Linked DNA regions of Cricetulus griseus. The protein of the gene in region 1 purifies or fractionates together with the protein of each later gene. This does not show direct contact. Links are inferred from orthologs where the notes say so. Each region holds a gene or a part of one and is shown on either strand. Other genes may lie near its edges.

What was found. The genes of interacting proteins can lie anywhere in the genome.
Region 2: the proteins of Chaf1a (region 1) and Setdb1 purify together in Homo sapiens (affinity purification with western blotting; 3 studies listed by BioGRID and IntAct, with this or other methods). This does not show direct contact. The link is inferred for Cricetulus griseus from reciprocal best matches to the Homo sapiens genes CHAF1A and SETDB1.
Region 3: the proteins of Chaf1a (region 1) and Cbx1 purify together in Homo sapiens (affinity purification with mass spectrometry; 4 studies listed by BioGRID and IntAct, with this or other methods). This does not show direct contact. The link is inferred for Cricetulus griseus from reciprocal best matches to the Homo sapiens genes CHAF1A and CBX1.
Region 4: the proteins of Chaf1a (region 1) and Asf1b purify together in Homo sapiens (co-immunoprecipitation; 7 studies listed by BioGRID and IntAct, counting the BioPlex papers as one, with this or other methods). This does not show direct contact. The link is inferred for Cricetulus griseus from reciprocal best matches to the Homo sapiens genes CHAF1A and ASF1B.

The regions. Positions count from the first base shown.
Region 1 is NC_048598.1:97,490,108-97,493,797, forward strand, and holds part of Chaf1a (chromatin assembly factor 1 subunit A), read right to left. Parts: intron 2,691-3,690; coding exon 2,634-2,690; intron 1,224-2,633; coding exon 1,021-1,223; intron 1-1,020. UniProt on the Homo sapiens protein: Acts as a component of the histone chaperone complex chromatin assembly factor 1 (CAF-1), which assembles histone octamers onto DNA during replication and repair.
Region 2 is NW_023276806.1:61,158,649-61,162,338, reverse strand, and holds part of Setdb1 (histone-lysine N-methyltransferase SETDB1), read right to left. Parts: intron 3,558-3,690; coding exon 3,428-3,557; intron 1,768-3,427; coding exon 1,617-1,767; intron 1,520-1,616; coding exon 1,361-1,519; intron 337-1,360; coding exon 1-336. UniProt on the Homo sapiens protein: Histone methyltransferase that specifically trimethylates 'Lys-9' of histone H3. H3 'Lys-9' trimethylation represents a specific tag for epigenetic transcriptional repression by recruiting HP1 (CBX1, CBX3 and/or CBX5) proteins to methylated histones.
Region 3 is NC_048600.1:109,951,115-109,954,804, reverse strand, and holds part of Cbx1 (chromobox protein homolog 1), read right to left. Parts: intron 2,095-3,690; 5' UTR 2,058-2,094; coding exon 1,918-2,057; intron 1,424-1,917; coding exon 1,246-1,423; intron 158-1,245; coding exon 63-157; intron 1-62. UniProt on the Homo sapiens protein: Component of heterochromatin. Recognizes and binds histone H3 tails methylated at 'Lys-9', leading to epigenetic repression. Interaction with lamin B receptor (LBR) can contribute to the association of the heterochromatin with the inner nuclear membrane.
Region 4 is NC_048596.1:160,448,188-160,452,063, reverse strand, and holds the end of Asf1b (histone chaperone ASF1B), read left to right. Parts: intron 1-1,032; coding exon 1,033-1,209; intron 1,210-2,259; coding exon 2,260-2,466; 3' UTR 2,467-3,296; downstream 3,297-3,876. UniProt on the Homo sapiens protein: Histone chaperone that facilitates histone deposition and histone exchange and removal during nucleosome assembly and disassembly. Cooperates with chromatin assembly factor 1 (CAF-1) to promote replication-dependent chromatin assembly.

The DNA of each region.
Region 1 (3,690 bases):
CGACCATCCATAATGAAGTCTGGTGCCACCTTCTGGCATTCAGGTGTTCTGGCAGGCAGAACACTGAACACATAATAAACCAATCAATCAGCCAGGCGGTTGTGGCACACACCTTTAATCCCAGCACTCGAGATGCAGAGGCAGGTGGATCTCTGAGTTCAAGACCAGCCTGGTCTACAAGAGGTAGTTCCAGGACAACCCCCAAAGCCACAGAGAAACCCTGTCTCAAAAAACAAAAAACAAAACAAAAAAACCAATCAATCTTTTAAATTATTTTGAAGGGGTCTCATTACATAGACAAAGCTGACCTGCAACTCACAGAATCTCCCAGCACAGGTGCAGATTAAAGTCAGCACCACATCACTTATCAATATAAAGTTCTTGATGGTTTGGGGCTCAATGGATAGTGACAACTTGTCATGCATGAGCCCTTGGGTTCTAGCCCCAACATGTCAAAGACCAGGTGTGTTGGTGCCTGCCAATCACCCCAGCACTATGTGGAGGCAGGAGAATCAAAACTCCAAGATCATCCACAGCAGCATGGCTCACTTACTCAAAAATCATTTGTCATTTATTAGGTTTCAACAACCTCCTTGCAAGGCACAAAGATTTTATTTATTTATTTATTTATTTATTTGTGGCCAGGCATGGAGGTGCATGTCTTTAATCCTAGCACTCAGGAGGTAGAGGCAGGCCTGGTCTACAGAGTGAGTTCCAAACAGCCAGGGCTACACAGAGAAACCCTGCCTCGAAAACAAAGTGTTATCATGATAGGACTGCCTCACCACACAAGAGCTGCTGTAGTGTCAAAACCTCACAGGACACAGTGGTCATCCACTGAGGCAACAGCCCAGTTAGGAAACTGAATAAGAAATCCTGATGGGACCGGAGCATTTAAAACCAAAACTCCCAGTAGCCCAGGAACCACAGCCAGATAAAGCCTGCAGCCCTACAGAAAGTACACAGGCCAGAAGCCAACTGCCCCCTCTGCAGTCAGGCTCCAGAGGTCCGCACACTCACTCCAGAGCCTCCTGTCGCTCCTTGCGTCGTTCCTCCTTGAGCCGCTGCTTTTCCGCCTTCTCCTTCTCATCCTTCTCCCGCTTTTCCCTCCGCTCCTTCTCCTTCAGCTCCTTCTCTTCCTCCTTCCTTCTTCGAGCCTCCTCCTTGGCTTGCCGCGTCTCTTCCCTCAGCTTCTCCTTCTCCTCCCTCTGCTGTTCTCTGTCCTGTAAGAAGACAGTGGCAAAGGTGCACCATGGGTGACCTAAGGCAAGAACTGCCAAGCACACAGAGCCCAGAGTTCAGCTCAGCACCAAAGACACAAGTGTCAGGGCAGTGGTGGTGAACTATTGCCCAGGCTGACTCATTCCCTACATACATTCAAGAACGACTCGATTTCCTTTGAAATGAGAGACTGGACTGAGGGTAAGGACAGGAGCCTGGTGGGTGAGTATTAAACAGAGTCCTGGGTTGGACCCCAATGCCCAGCAGAGATCCTTTTGGGACTGAGCTCTACCCCAGCAGGTCTCTCCAAACCGGAGTCTGAGCCCTCAGTGTCCAGCTTGAAAAAGGACTTCAAGCCTTCCTGTAATGAAGCCTGTGGATGTAGGGCTGCTGCTGTAATAGGCCTGTGTTGGGTGGTTTCTTGGTATTGGGGATTCCAGCATGTTTTGCAACTGTGCTCTGGGCCACAGCTTGTAAGTGCTACTTCCTGGCCAAAAGAGGCAGTCTGACCTGGGTAGGAGGTGCAGGCCTGACTGCATTGTCAGTTCCCGGTTGTTACTAAGGAGACAGAAGCCCAGGAGACTCTGTCTGCTGTACCTTCATATGCGCTGCTCACACAGGCTGGATTGTACCTGGCAGTGTAAGCATGTCATTTGTCACTGGGAGAATGGGGCCAGCCTGGGCTACACAGGGAGCCTCTAAGCAAACAGGACTGGGGTTCACCTCAGAGGACCAGAATGTTCAGCATGCAAAAAGCCTGCTTTTCCAATACCAAATGCCTTAAAAAGCACCCAATGACACCATACTCCTTCCTAACTGCAAAGGGGTTGTGTAGCACAGTGAGCACAGCAGGGCCTAAAGTTTTACACATTAGAGTGTCCCTTTCCCCACAGGCCACATGGTGACCTGGAGACCAAAAAGTCGCAACCAGCTGTCACCTCTGCATTGTCTGGGGCCACTTCCATGTGAACCTAACTCATACCCTTCCAAGGAGAGTGAGACCATGTCAAAGGTATTTTGTTTAGTTTTGCCTTTTTTTTTTGAGACAGGGTTTCTCTGTGTCCTGGAACTGTCCTGGAACTCGCTTTGTAAACCAGGCTGGCTTTGAACTCAGAGATCGGCCTGTGTCTGTCTCCGTAAGTGCTAGATTAAAGGTGTGTGTCGCCACCCCCGGTTTTTTTTTGTTTTTGTTTTTTTTTTTTTGACTCACTATGTAACCCTTTAACCCTGGCTGGACTTGAACTCAATGCCCCTTTGAAGGGAGTTTTCCCAATGGCAGCATGTGCTGGCAGAGACCCAGGCAGAGCCTGCGTACTCAGGACACTCGGTCCACCACCATTGCCAGTGCAGTGGCAGCACAAGCAGGAGAGTCCATAAGCACAAGGCTCCAAGAGCTGGGAGGAGGACCTTACTCTGTGTAGTTTGCTCCTGCCCTTCTCTGTGGAGCCTCTGACGAGTTTCTTGTTAACCTGAAAAGAAAGACATAAGAGCTTAGGTCACATTCCCACAGGGCTCCATCCCACCCCACGGGAAGGGCAGTAGGGCCTAGAACCTACAGGGGACATTCTGGATATGGTCTATAAGCCCCAGGAGAGAGGTGATTTAGCAGTTGACTTTAGCTTGAAGCACAGGGACCTGATTAAGCCCCAACACAGAAAGAGCCAGGTGTAATGATGGACACTTTTAATCCTAGCACCAGGCACTAGAAGACAGGAGGATCCCTGGGGCTCCTTGGCTGGCAAACTCAGTTAGCCCACCCAGGCCACCCAAATGGTGAGCATAATCACAATAAGAATCTCAGTGTGGTGGCTACGCCTTTAGTTCTAGCACTAGGGAGGCGGAGGCAGGCAGGCAGCCAGCCTGGTGTATATGGCAAGACCCAGGCCAGACAGGAAGACAAAGTGAGACTCTGTACCCTACCCCCCAAAATGGTGAACAATGCCTGCAGACCAATAATAAAGGCTGTCCTTCTGGCCTCCACTCACACACAGGAACCAACCCACAAAGGTTGTTTGTCAAAGATGATATATATTCTACTTATGAACTATAAGTAGAATCACCCGTGAGGAGCTGGGGTGTGGTCAGGGATGGAGCCTTCTGCCCAGGAGTCACCAGGAAGAGGCTGAGGATGTGGTAGGGGTGGAGCCCCCACCTAGAATCCTCCTAAAAGGGGCTGGGGGCGTGGCTCAGGGAGTGGAATGCCCCCCCCTCTGTATTGAGACAAAGCAGAAACAAAACAAAACATTGTTGCAAAAGTCTTTTCCAGCAACAGCATCAAATGTTACAGTCAGAACACAAAGGCCTTACTCAGGTAAACTGGAGACAGAGAAGAATACCAGTGAGGAGAAGCCACCAGTGGACAGGGATGAGCTGGAGGCCAGCTCCCAGCAATCAAACGCCACTGTGTTCACAGGAGCTGGTCTATGATCCTGCAAGGTTCCAAATGAAGCCCTTCCTGGTACAAATGAG
Region 2 (3,690 bases), on another chromosome or scaffold:
AGGTAGCGTTCTATTTCCTGCATTGTCCGAAGACAGAGACCACAGGGTGTCTTATAGATAACATGGAAGCCCATTTTGCGGTTAACTCTACGCCGGGCTGTCATCCTACGGAAGTCATATAGCAGCGGTACTAAGAGGGGATTCTTGCCCCGGTACTGTTCATTCCTCATGGGTCTGATCCGGGACAGACAAGTGTAACTGCAGACATGAGGTAAATAGAAAAGCTTCTCCATGGGGGCTCGGTAGGAAGGCTCAGCTGGTGCCCGCTCTAACATGCCATGGAAGGCTGGAGGGGCTGCAGGTGTTGGAGTAGATGCTACTGAGGCCAAAGGCGATCTATAAATGAAATGCAAAAATATCAGATCAGAAGATAACAGGACTTTTCCTTTTTTTTTTTTTTTCTTTTTCAGACAGGGTTTCTCTGTGGCTTTGGATGCTGTCTTGGAACTAGCTCTGTAGACCAGGCTGGTCTGGAACTCAAGAGATCTGCCTGCCTCTGCCTCCCGCCCAGTGCTGGGACTAAAGGTGTGCTGCGCCACCACTGCCCGGTGATAACAAGACTCTTTGCTGTACAATTATCCCCCTTCCAACTGGCTAAGGCATTTCTCTCATCTTTCATATAGCTTTTTTTTTCTTTTTTCTTTTTTTTTTTGAGAAAGGGGTATCATCAGCTCCCAATCCTCTGCTCCACCCTCCTAAGAGCTGGGATTATAAGTGTGTAACAATGCACCCAGCCAGCTGTGCTCTGGATCCTACAGATTAAGGTCAGATCCTTTCTTTTAGCAAACAAAAATGGACAATGATACCCCCTGTCAATTCTTCACAGACAGGATCGCCTCTAGTTCAACAGGGCACTTTCCCTAATGCATGTCTGTCTTAAGAAGTAGAGTTTAGTCCTTTACCAAAACCTCTGTATTTTGTGTCCTCTAAACATCCTTACTATCTTCTAGGAGTCAAGGAAAGAAATGATGGGGTCTCTTTCCTGTTGAAGCAATGATAATGGTACCATACTCAAGAAGTTTTGGCAAATGACTTTCTGGTGACAGTGTGTTTCTCAGGCATGGGATTTCTAATTTAACTTTTGTTGCTGTTTTTTAAGACCGGATTTCTCTGTGTAGCCCTGGCTGTCCTGGCACTCACTCTGTAGACCAGGCTGGCTTTGAACTCACAGAGATCCACCTGCCTCTGCTTCCTTAATGCTGGGATTAAAAAGGCATATAACCACCACTGCCCAGCTTAATTTAACAATTCTTTTTTAGCTCAAGTTTCTCACTAACATAACTTTAAAGTAGAGGCCCTTGGAGACCCTGTACAGCAGTCCATTTTGTCAAGCTGCCCACAGTGTCTGAGGTTTTCTTACCTGTATGTCTGGTTGATCCCAAGTTTCCCAGCAGTTACACTTTCACTGAGTGTGGGCGAAGCAGGGGAGGAATGGCCAGAACCCACAGATCCTGGCCGAAACGATGTGCTCTTTTTGGCCACTTGCTTCCGTGACTGAGCAAGTTGGCTTTCTAAGCTTCTAAGGAAGTTGGAAAGAGAACATACAGTAAAGATTCAGAAGTTACGTATGGGGAAAAAAAAAAACACTCCAAGTAAAAAGAATGAGGAGCACTCACTCAGTGTCACCTGCTTGTGGGGAAAGAGGAAGTGCAGCAGGGGGGGCCGGTGTAGCTATGGGCTGTGGGGGCTCCGTGAGCTTGAACTGGGTTCCAGTGCTGGTTAGGTCCTGTGTATACTGAACAACAGGACCTTTGCTCCTCACAGCACCTACAGGAAAAACAAACAAAAATTGACAGCTGTATTAGATATTCTTATTCGCACAGTCTATCAACTAATGCAATATAAAAATGCAGCAAAAGAAAACAGAGGTGGCTCAGGGTCACAAGCATGAGTGCCTGAATTCAAATCCTCAGAACCTATGTAAAGCTAGGCATGGTAGCATGTGTCTATAATCCCAGTGTTCCTGCAGGGAAACGGGAGGTAGGCAACATAGAAATCCCCAGAAGCCTATAGGCAGCTAGCCTTTAGATGCAGCAATGAACAGAACTTGGCTCAAAAAAACAAGTCCAAGTTTGTTTGGGTTTTTTGAGACAGGGTTTTGGGTTTTTTGAGACAGGGTTTTTCTGTGTAACTCTGCAGACCAGACTGGCTTCAAACTCACAGAGATTGCCCTGCTTCTGCCTCCTGAGTGCTGGGATCAAAGGCATGCACCACCACCTCCAGGCTGTTTTTTGTTTGTTTTTTGACACAGTGTTTCTCTGGGTAGTCCTGGCTGTCCTGGAATTCACTATGTAGATCAGACTGTCTTCAAACTCACAGACCCTGCCTGTCTCTGCTGCCTGTGCTGAAATTAAAGGAGTGCACCACCACTGTCCAGCAGGAAGTAGCATGTATGCAAATACCTGTATTCACATACAAAGGTGGCAAATGGCAACTTTCTAAATGTTAAGATAGATTGTTTTGATTATTCACACAAGTTGGTACACTAGTATATGCTGGCTTTGGAAAAACATATTGTTTCAAGGCACAGTCACATGTAATCATGGCTGGTCTCAAACTCATTATGTAGCCAAGGATGATCTTGAACTTTGAACTTATCTACTTTTGTCTTCCAATTGTTTGGAACTGACTACAGGTGTGCACCAACACACATGGCCTTATGTGGATATGTAGAAAGAATCAAAGTGATTGCAATGGGAAGGTAGCTCCACAAATCCATCACCACTAATGAAAACATTCTGGACACATATCTCTTATCTAGTGAGTTAAAAATAATGTTATGGTAAATAAAATGACAGCTGCCAGCCTCGTGTTGGTAGCGCACACCTTTAATTCCAGCACTTAGGAAGCAGAGGCAGGCAGATCTCTGTGGGTTCGAGGCCAGCCTGGTATACAGAGAAAGTTTCAGAACAATCTACAAAGCAATACAGAGAAACCCTGTCTCAAAAAAAACAAAACAAAATAAAACAAAACAAAACAAAGATAGCTGCCATATGTAATCTTCTTTGTTGCATAATATTTGTTTACACTGTAAAGATGTTATCTTTGCCAAAGTGCCTTCTGATTGGTTTAATAAAGAGCTGAATTGCCAATAGCTAGGCAGAATGAGGTTGGGCAGGACTTCTGGAGACAGCACTCTGGGAAAAAAAAAAGGGAGTCACCAGCCAGACTCAGATAGAAAACGGAGGTGCAAGATGGAAGAGAGGTAATGCCATATTGCAAGCACATAGATTTAAAAATATGGGTTAATTTAAGTTTTACGAGATAGTTGAGACAAGCCTAAACTATAGGTCAAACTTTCCTAATTAATAATAAGTGTCTATGTTATTGTGTGGGAGCTGGCTGTCAGGACAGAAAAAGGCTCATTACACTTCTTTGCACGTCTGCCCCGTCTCTTCCTTTCCCTAGGTGTCTTTTAGGGGCATACCCATATTAGGACGGGTTCTCAATTGTCCCCCTTGCTTCTTCTCCATTGCAGAAGCTGATGATGTCTTCATACTGAACATGGGTTCCAGGCGTGTAGAGCCTCGATAGATCCACTCACATCTCTTGTCATCCTGGGAGGCAGGATGAAAGGAAGGTGAACAAAAACCTTCAGGGTTAGAATCAATCCTGTCTCTTGTTTCAAATATATACCATGAGTCACCTCTGACCATTAGGTTTGGCAACAAGTGCCTTTTTCCAATGACC
Region 3 (3,690 bases), on another chromosome or scaffold:
CTCTGGCATAGAACAGATGGAGAAGGGAAGAAACAACCACACAGAGCCACTGGCAGACTCACCATTTCATCAGGAACATGAGTTCTCCACTGGAGTCAGTAGCTCCAATAATCCGTTCAGGCTCCAAACCCCTGGCAAAGCCTCGTGGCTTTTCTGACTGTAAAAACCAGAAGGACAGAACAATTTTATTGGCATAGGACTATATCCAGAATGAAGTTATTGCTGTGTTTCTAAGAAATGTAATCACAAACATTCACTAAAGGTTTCCTCTGCTTCCCACACCATGAGGTACCCCTGGCATGAATGGGACACACACCCCAAGCAAAAGAAATGTTCATGCTGTCTCTTCAAAGGTAAATTAATTAAGATACTAAGTAAGACAAAACAGCTACTTCAAATCTGTAATGATCAAAACACTGAAAGTGGGCTGGAGAGATGGCTCAGAGGTTAAGAGCACTGACTGCTCTTCCAGAGGTCCTGAGTTCAATTCTCAGCAACCACATGGTGGCTCACAACCATCTGTAATAAGATTTGGTGCCTCTTCTGGCCTGCAGGCACACATGCTGGCAGAACACTGTATACTTAATAAATCTAAAAAACAAACAAACAAACAAAAAACTAAAAGCAATCTATTGACAGCAATCTACTGACAGGAAACAAATTCAGTTGCTGTCATGTGTCTCCAGTAACTGTTACATCCTTTATGCCAGAAGAGGGCATCAGATCTCATTACAGAGCCACCATGTGGTTGCTGGGAATGGAACTCAGGACCTCTGGTAGAGCAGCTAGTCAGTGCTTTTTTTTTTTTGGATTTTCAAGACAGTGTTTCTCTGTGTAACAGTCCTGGCTGTCCTGGAACTCACAGAGATCCCCCTGCCTCTGCTTCCCAAGTGCTGGGACTAAAGGCATGTGCCACCAACACCCGGCTATCCCATCATTCTTGCACCATAGATAAAAAGATTAGATCACTTTACAGGAATAAGTCCCAAATCCTTTTTTTTTTTTTTTTTTTTTGGTTTTGTTATGTTTCAATGAGACAAGGTCTCCTGTAGTCAAGGTCTCTTATACCTGATCCTTCTGCTAGGATTACAGGTGTGCACATGGTTGACTTCCAAATCTTTTAAAAACATTAGTTTATTTCCGAAGGACAGAGGACATAACTGCTGAGATTCAGAGGAAGAAGTTCAAGTATCGTAGCTCATAATTGTAAGCCCAATACTTAAATCCTTGTCCTAAGTTTCTCACCTCTTCTTTCTTCTTCTTTGGTTTGCTTTCCTCTCCCTTATCATCAGAATCAGAATCGGCTTTGCGCTTGCCTCCCTCTGATTTATCTGTCTCATGGGCTGTTTTCTGTGATTGTAGAAACTCAGCAATAAGGTCAGGGCAATCCAGGTTCTCTTCTGGCTCCCATGTATTGTCCTCACTGAAACCAGCAATCACAGCAAGTTACACTTCCACTCAAGTCAACATTTGTAACTAAGAGAGGAGGTAGTCTTGGAAGAGAGTTAAATGATAAGGAACAGCTAGATTTTTGTTCAAAATTAAGAAGTTTCCTAGCAGGGGATGGTAAAGACCAAAGGCTTAGAAACTTGTCTTCTTCAAGGAAAAACTACTTTGCAGAGGTGGACTATCTTATACAAATTGCTCCTCAGAAATCACTGTTGTGGACTGGTGAGATAGCTCAATGGGAAAAAGGAGACATCTGGCAAGCCTGAAGACCTGACTTTCATCCCAGGACTTAAGGCCACACATGCCACATACACAAAACAAAATGCTGCCATATATCGCAGTATTCTGCATGTAGGTCCTTCCTCAGTAGACTATCAGCTGTGGAGGTCAGGACTGACCCCAGGTATACCCATCACAGAACAGGTATCAAGCATAAGGACTGAATTTACCTGTGCCAATGAAACTTACTCTGAGAAACCCTTCCACTTTAGAAGATATTCCACTTTGCCCTTGACAACTCGTCGATCAAGAACTTTTTCCACCACATATTCCTCTTCCTCTTCTTCTAGAACCTCCTCCACTTTCTTCTTGTTCTGTTTTTTCCCCATAGTACCCGCCAGCTTTCCGGTGTAAAGAGTGACGCTGCTAAAATGACAAAAGAAAATAAAAAGGGCATCAAGGCACATTTACTGGTCAGATAAATATCTGGATGGTAAGGGAAATCACAGATGATGTACACTGCTTATGTATAATGCTCTACTTATCTCCAGTTCACAACCACGTTTCCACGTTAGCTAGCAAGTTAGCTATATTTTTTTTTTTTTGGGGGGGGGGGTTGAGACAGGGTTTCCCTGTGGCTATGGAGGTTGTCCTGGAACTAGCTCTTGTAGACCAGGCTGGTCTTGAACTCACAGAGATCCGCCTCCTCTGTCTCCTGAGTGCTGGGATTAAAGGCCCATGCTGCTGCCTCCACTCGGCACGATTATTTTTTTAAAAGCACAATTATTATTTTAATTCATTTTTAAAAATGTGCATTGGTGTTTTGCCATGGGTGTCAAGTCCCCAGAAACTGGAGTTACAGACAGTTGTGAGCTACCATGTGGATGCTGGGTCCTCTGGAAGGGCAGTCAATGCTCTTAACTGCAGATCCATCTTTCTAACCCCTAGCCATGATTATTAATCTCACAGCAAATTTCTTTCCCTTTGGACAAGGACTTATTAAGAAGCCCAAGGTGTCCTCAGCTTTCTTTCCTTTTTTTTTTTTAAAGATTTATTTATTTATTTATTTATTTATTTACTTATTTGTTGTGCATGCAGTGTTCTGTCTGCATGTATGTCTGCAGGCCCGAAAAGGGCACCAGATCTCTACAGATGGTTGTGACCTATGTGGTTGCTGGGAATTGAACTCAGGACCTCTGGAAGAGCAGCCAGTGCTCTTAACCTCTGAGCCATCTCTCCAGTCCTGTCCTCAGCTTTCTATGTGATGGAATTATAGGTGATACTACAATGTGTGGGTCGAACTCACAGAGATCTTCCTGCCTCTGTCTCCCGAGTGCTGGGAGTAAAGGCATGTGCCACCACCACCGCCCAGCCTTCACAGTCTCATATAGCTCAGGATGGCTTTGAATCCCTGATCTGGTCTCTATCTTTTAAGTAATGGGATCATAGATGTATGCTACCATGTCCAGCTAAAAAGTCCCTTTATTTTTCACTTTGCTTTTCTTGAATGACATCATAAATTCACAGCTCAAACTTTAAAAATTCTTTTACTGCATTTACTCATGTAGTCTAAGTTTGGGTGTCACGGAGGTCACGGGACAATTTGTGGGAGTCAGCTCCATGTGGGTCTCGGGCTTGGCTAAGCTACCTCACATGATGTAGCAGAGGATGAACTTGATCTTCTGACCCTCTTGTCTCTTCCCCCCAGTAGTGCTAAAAGACTGAACACAGGGCTTTGTATAATATACAAGGCAAGAGACTACTCTACCAACTGTGCTACAACTCCAGCCAACTCCCATTTTTCCCTTTGGTAGTACTAGGAATTAAACCTTGGGTTTCAAGAATGCTAGGTACTATGCTACAGCCCTTGCCCATAAATCACTATTATTTGACTTAGTTTACTTTATTTCTAAGCCTCAAGACTGCTTAGAAGAAGCACCAGATTAACTATTTAAGCTGGAGTACTGTAATAACTTAGAAAATGAGCAGGGGGAAAAGAGGAAGGTAGCCATCAGAGATGTA
Region 4 (3,876 bases), on another chromosome or scaffold:
TTTTTACATGTTAGTAAGTAATTATGAAAGTACCACACTTGTTGGTTTTTAAGTTTCTAGATGTATCTAATTGGTGGATTTGTAAACTCAGTGAATATGAAGATGGGCTGTGACTTCCAAATGGTGCTGCTATGTCCAGTCCAGTGTCTAGGCTCATTGGCAAGTGCTAAGGAAATCATGATCCATTACCTCCCTCCTACTGTTTCCCCTATTCCAAGCTACCTGCTCCCCTAACACTCCTGCCTGTTGAGCCAAGGCCTCTTCCAGGGCACATAGCCTGGCCATTGAACATCCCCACTGGGGATGCTCTGCTCTGTGTCATGGATTTGGCTAAGTGTAGGTGTTTTCATTTGCATTGGTTTCATATAACATAGTTGCTCCATCCAGAGCCACACACCCTGATCTGTGATTCTGTTCTCTGTTGCTGGGATTAGTCATCCTGTCCAGGATGACTCCTGACTGGCTTCCCTGCTTCTGCTCAACCTTCTGCAGCTAGACCTCCACATACCTGCACTCTTTTCAGACCTTACCTCTTCTAAACACTGCTCTTTCCCAAGCCCTGAATTTCCCCAGCAGGCCTGGGGCTGCCTCATATCCACCTGACCAACTTCATCTCTTGTCAGTTCCTTTTTGCACCACATTCTGCCTAAACACCCTTGTCTCCTAGTCACATTCCGAAGTTTTGAATTTACTTACTTATTTTTTCCGAGACAGGGTTTCTCTGTGAAGTTTTAGAGCCTGTCCTGGCACTTGTTCTGTAAACTAAGTTGGCTCGAACTCAGAGATCTGCCTGCCTCTGCCTCCCAAGGGCTGGGATTAAAGGCATGTGTCACCACTGCCTGGCTGAATTTACTATTGTTGTTACTAAGACTAAGGACAGAAGGTAGGACTCTGCATACTGAGCAATCATGTTGCCGAGTCAAATTCACCATCTCTTTGTAGCTACCTGTTTGGTCAGTTTTTTTAGTCCAGTTCTTTGGTAGTCTTTGAGTCATGAGTGGCAGTGCTAAAGCCCAGGATGTGTCTCCCCAGGCTGATGCCCCCAATCCATCCCTCATTCCTGAGACCGACGCCGTGGGTGTCACTGTGGTTCTCATCACCTGCACTTACCATGGACAAGAGTTCATCCGTGTGGGCTACTATGTCAACAATGAGTACCCAAATCCAGAGCTTCGGGAGAACCCACCCCCAAAGCCAGACTTCTCTCAGGTGAGGTCTGTCTCTGTACTTCCTGCTTCAGACAGGCCAGTTCCTTTACTGCTAAGGGAGATGGGTGCCCAGGTCAGTGAAGGTTAACAGGTCATGCTGTCTTTGAGGTAGAGCTAGGATGAAGCAAGTCTTTTCTTCTTGAGGCATGCCTGACAGGATCAGGGCTAGAGCTAGGGGGAATGTAGCACACTGTGATCCCAGCATCCCGGTCCTCAGAAGGCTGAGCTGCAAGTATCATAAGTTAGGAGGCCAGCCTTCTCTGCATAATGAGTTCCAGACCAACCTAGGCTACATAGTAAGACCCTGTTTTCAGGTGGGGAGGTGGAGGTGGGGGGGTGCTGGAGGGCCACTGGAGATAGCTTAGCAGTAAGAGCATTGGCTGCTCTTGCAAAGGACCTGGGTTTGATTCCTAGCAACCACATGGTGGCTCACAGCCACCTTTAATTCCAGTTTCAGGGGATCTATGCCCTCTTCTAACCTCCATGGGGATTAGGCACAAATGTAACAAATAGACATGTGTAGGCAAAACATTTATATAATAAAAATAAAGTTTTTTTTTTGTTTGTTTGTTTTTTTTTTAATTAAGTAGGCTGGAGAGAGGACTCAGCAGTTAAGAAACTTGCTGTTCTTCAGAACCAGGTTCAATTCCCAGCACCCACAAGCTGTTACTCTGTGCCCTCTTCTGGCCACCAAAGGCCAGACACACACACACCAGGCACACACGTGGTGCACAGATATATGTGTAGCCAGACACCCATATATATAAAACTTTTTTAAAAATCATGCTAGGCATGGTAGTGCATACTTTTAACCTCAGCACTTGGGAGACAGGGTCAGGCAGATCTCTGTGAGTTCCAGACTAACCTGGCCTACATAGTTGAGACTCTCAAAACAACCCCCCAAAAAACAAATGAACAAACCCAAGCAAAACCAGGATGAGGAAGGCCCTGTTCCTACTCCATAGTGTACAAGCATCTTTTGGGCTCAAAGTGGAGGTAGGAGGGCATCCTGGCCCTTAGGTGATAGGCACTGACACTCTTCTTGCTCCAGCTACAGCGGAACATCTTGGCTTCTAAGCCCCGGGTGACCCGATTCCATATCAACTGGGACAACAACTCAGACAGGCTGGAAGCCACAGAGAACCAGGACCCCAACCCGGACTATGGCCTTCCCCTCAGTTGCACTCCCATCAAAAGCCTGGGCCTCCCTAGCTGCATCTCAGGCCTCCTCCCGGAGAACTCCATGGACTGCATCTGATGGGGGCCAGGCTGGTCCCAGTAGGACCATGGCCAGTCTCCTTGCACACCTAGAGGGGACCTACAGGCCCTCATGCTTGGTCATCTCAAGGATTTGAGGGCCTCTAGCTGCCTCCAGACCTGTCAGCCCCAAGGAAAATATGGACCCCAACCTCTCAGCTCAGGTCCAGAAGAATCCTCTCACTTCTGACCCATCAGCCTCTAAGAAGCAGGTACTCATATGCTCATTCTTTGTGTCATTTTTTCTTCTATACTATCAGTGCCTTTGAGAAGCTCTTTGAATATCACCTTCCTTGAAGCTTGTTTGGGCAACGCTTGGCTAGCCTTTGGCCAAAGGTTGTCACTCCTTCTCACTCCAGTTCTTGGTGTCTCAGGCAAGGAATACTGGTTAGAAGGCAGACTTGGTACCACCAGTGTCCTTCCAGGGTGTCTAGGTCATTTAAGTCTAACCACTGCTAGAAAAATCCCCAAAGGTAAGCTCCCCAGGCCATGAAGGTATGGTGGGTACTTTGGTTACAGCCACCTTCTCATTGTGACTGAGCCTAGCTTTCTAAGAGGATTGCCTTGGGTAGGAGGCATGTTGGAGGTCCTGCTTCATGGAGTTATCAGGGTTTGCTTTGATGACATATTCTCATGAGCTACCCAATACTCCAGGATAAGGAGGCATTTGGCAGGCTGACCTGAGAAACTCCCACTCCATCTACCCTTACCCTAAGCCCTGGGTCCCCTTGCTGCTGCTACATGGATGCTATTGTGAGTGCAGTGTGTATATGAAAATGCTTTTATATTAAAAGTTTTGGTTGGTTTAAAAATAAAAGCACTTCATCTAGATTGTTCAGTTCTGGTTTTTTTTTTACCCCCCACCTGGCATGCCTAGAACTCACTATGTAGAACAGGCTGGCCTCAAACTCACAGAGATCCACCTGCCTCTGCCTCCCGAGTGCTGGGATTAAAGACATGTGCCATCAACACCCGGCCTGTTTTTTTGTTTGTTTGTTTGTTTGTTTTCTTCTTCTTCTTTCTTCTTTCTTCTTCCTTCTTCTTTCTCCTCCTCCCTCCTCCTTCCTCCCTCCTCCTCCTCCTCCTCCTCCTTTTTTTCTGAAACAAGACTTCTGTGTAGCCTTGGCTGCCTTGAACTTGCTCTGTAGACCAGGTTGGCCTTAAACTGAGAGATCCGCCTACCCCTGCTTCCCAAGTGCTGGGGTTAAAGACATGTGCCACCACTACCTGGCCTAAACATTAAGTGATTCTTTTTTGTTTTTTGAGACAGGGTTTCTCTGTATAACAGCTCTGGCTGTCCTGGAACTCTGTAGACCAGGCTGACCTCAAACTTACAGACATCTGCCTGTCATTGCCTCCCAAGTGCTAGGTTTAAAGGCGTTGCCCCACCACTCCCAGCTTAAAACATATT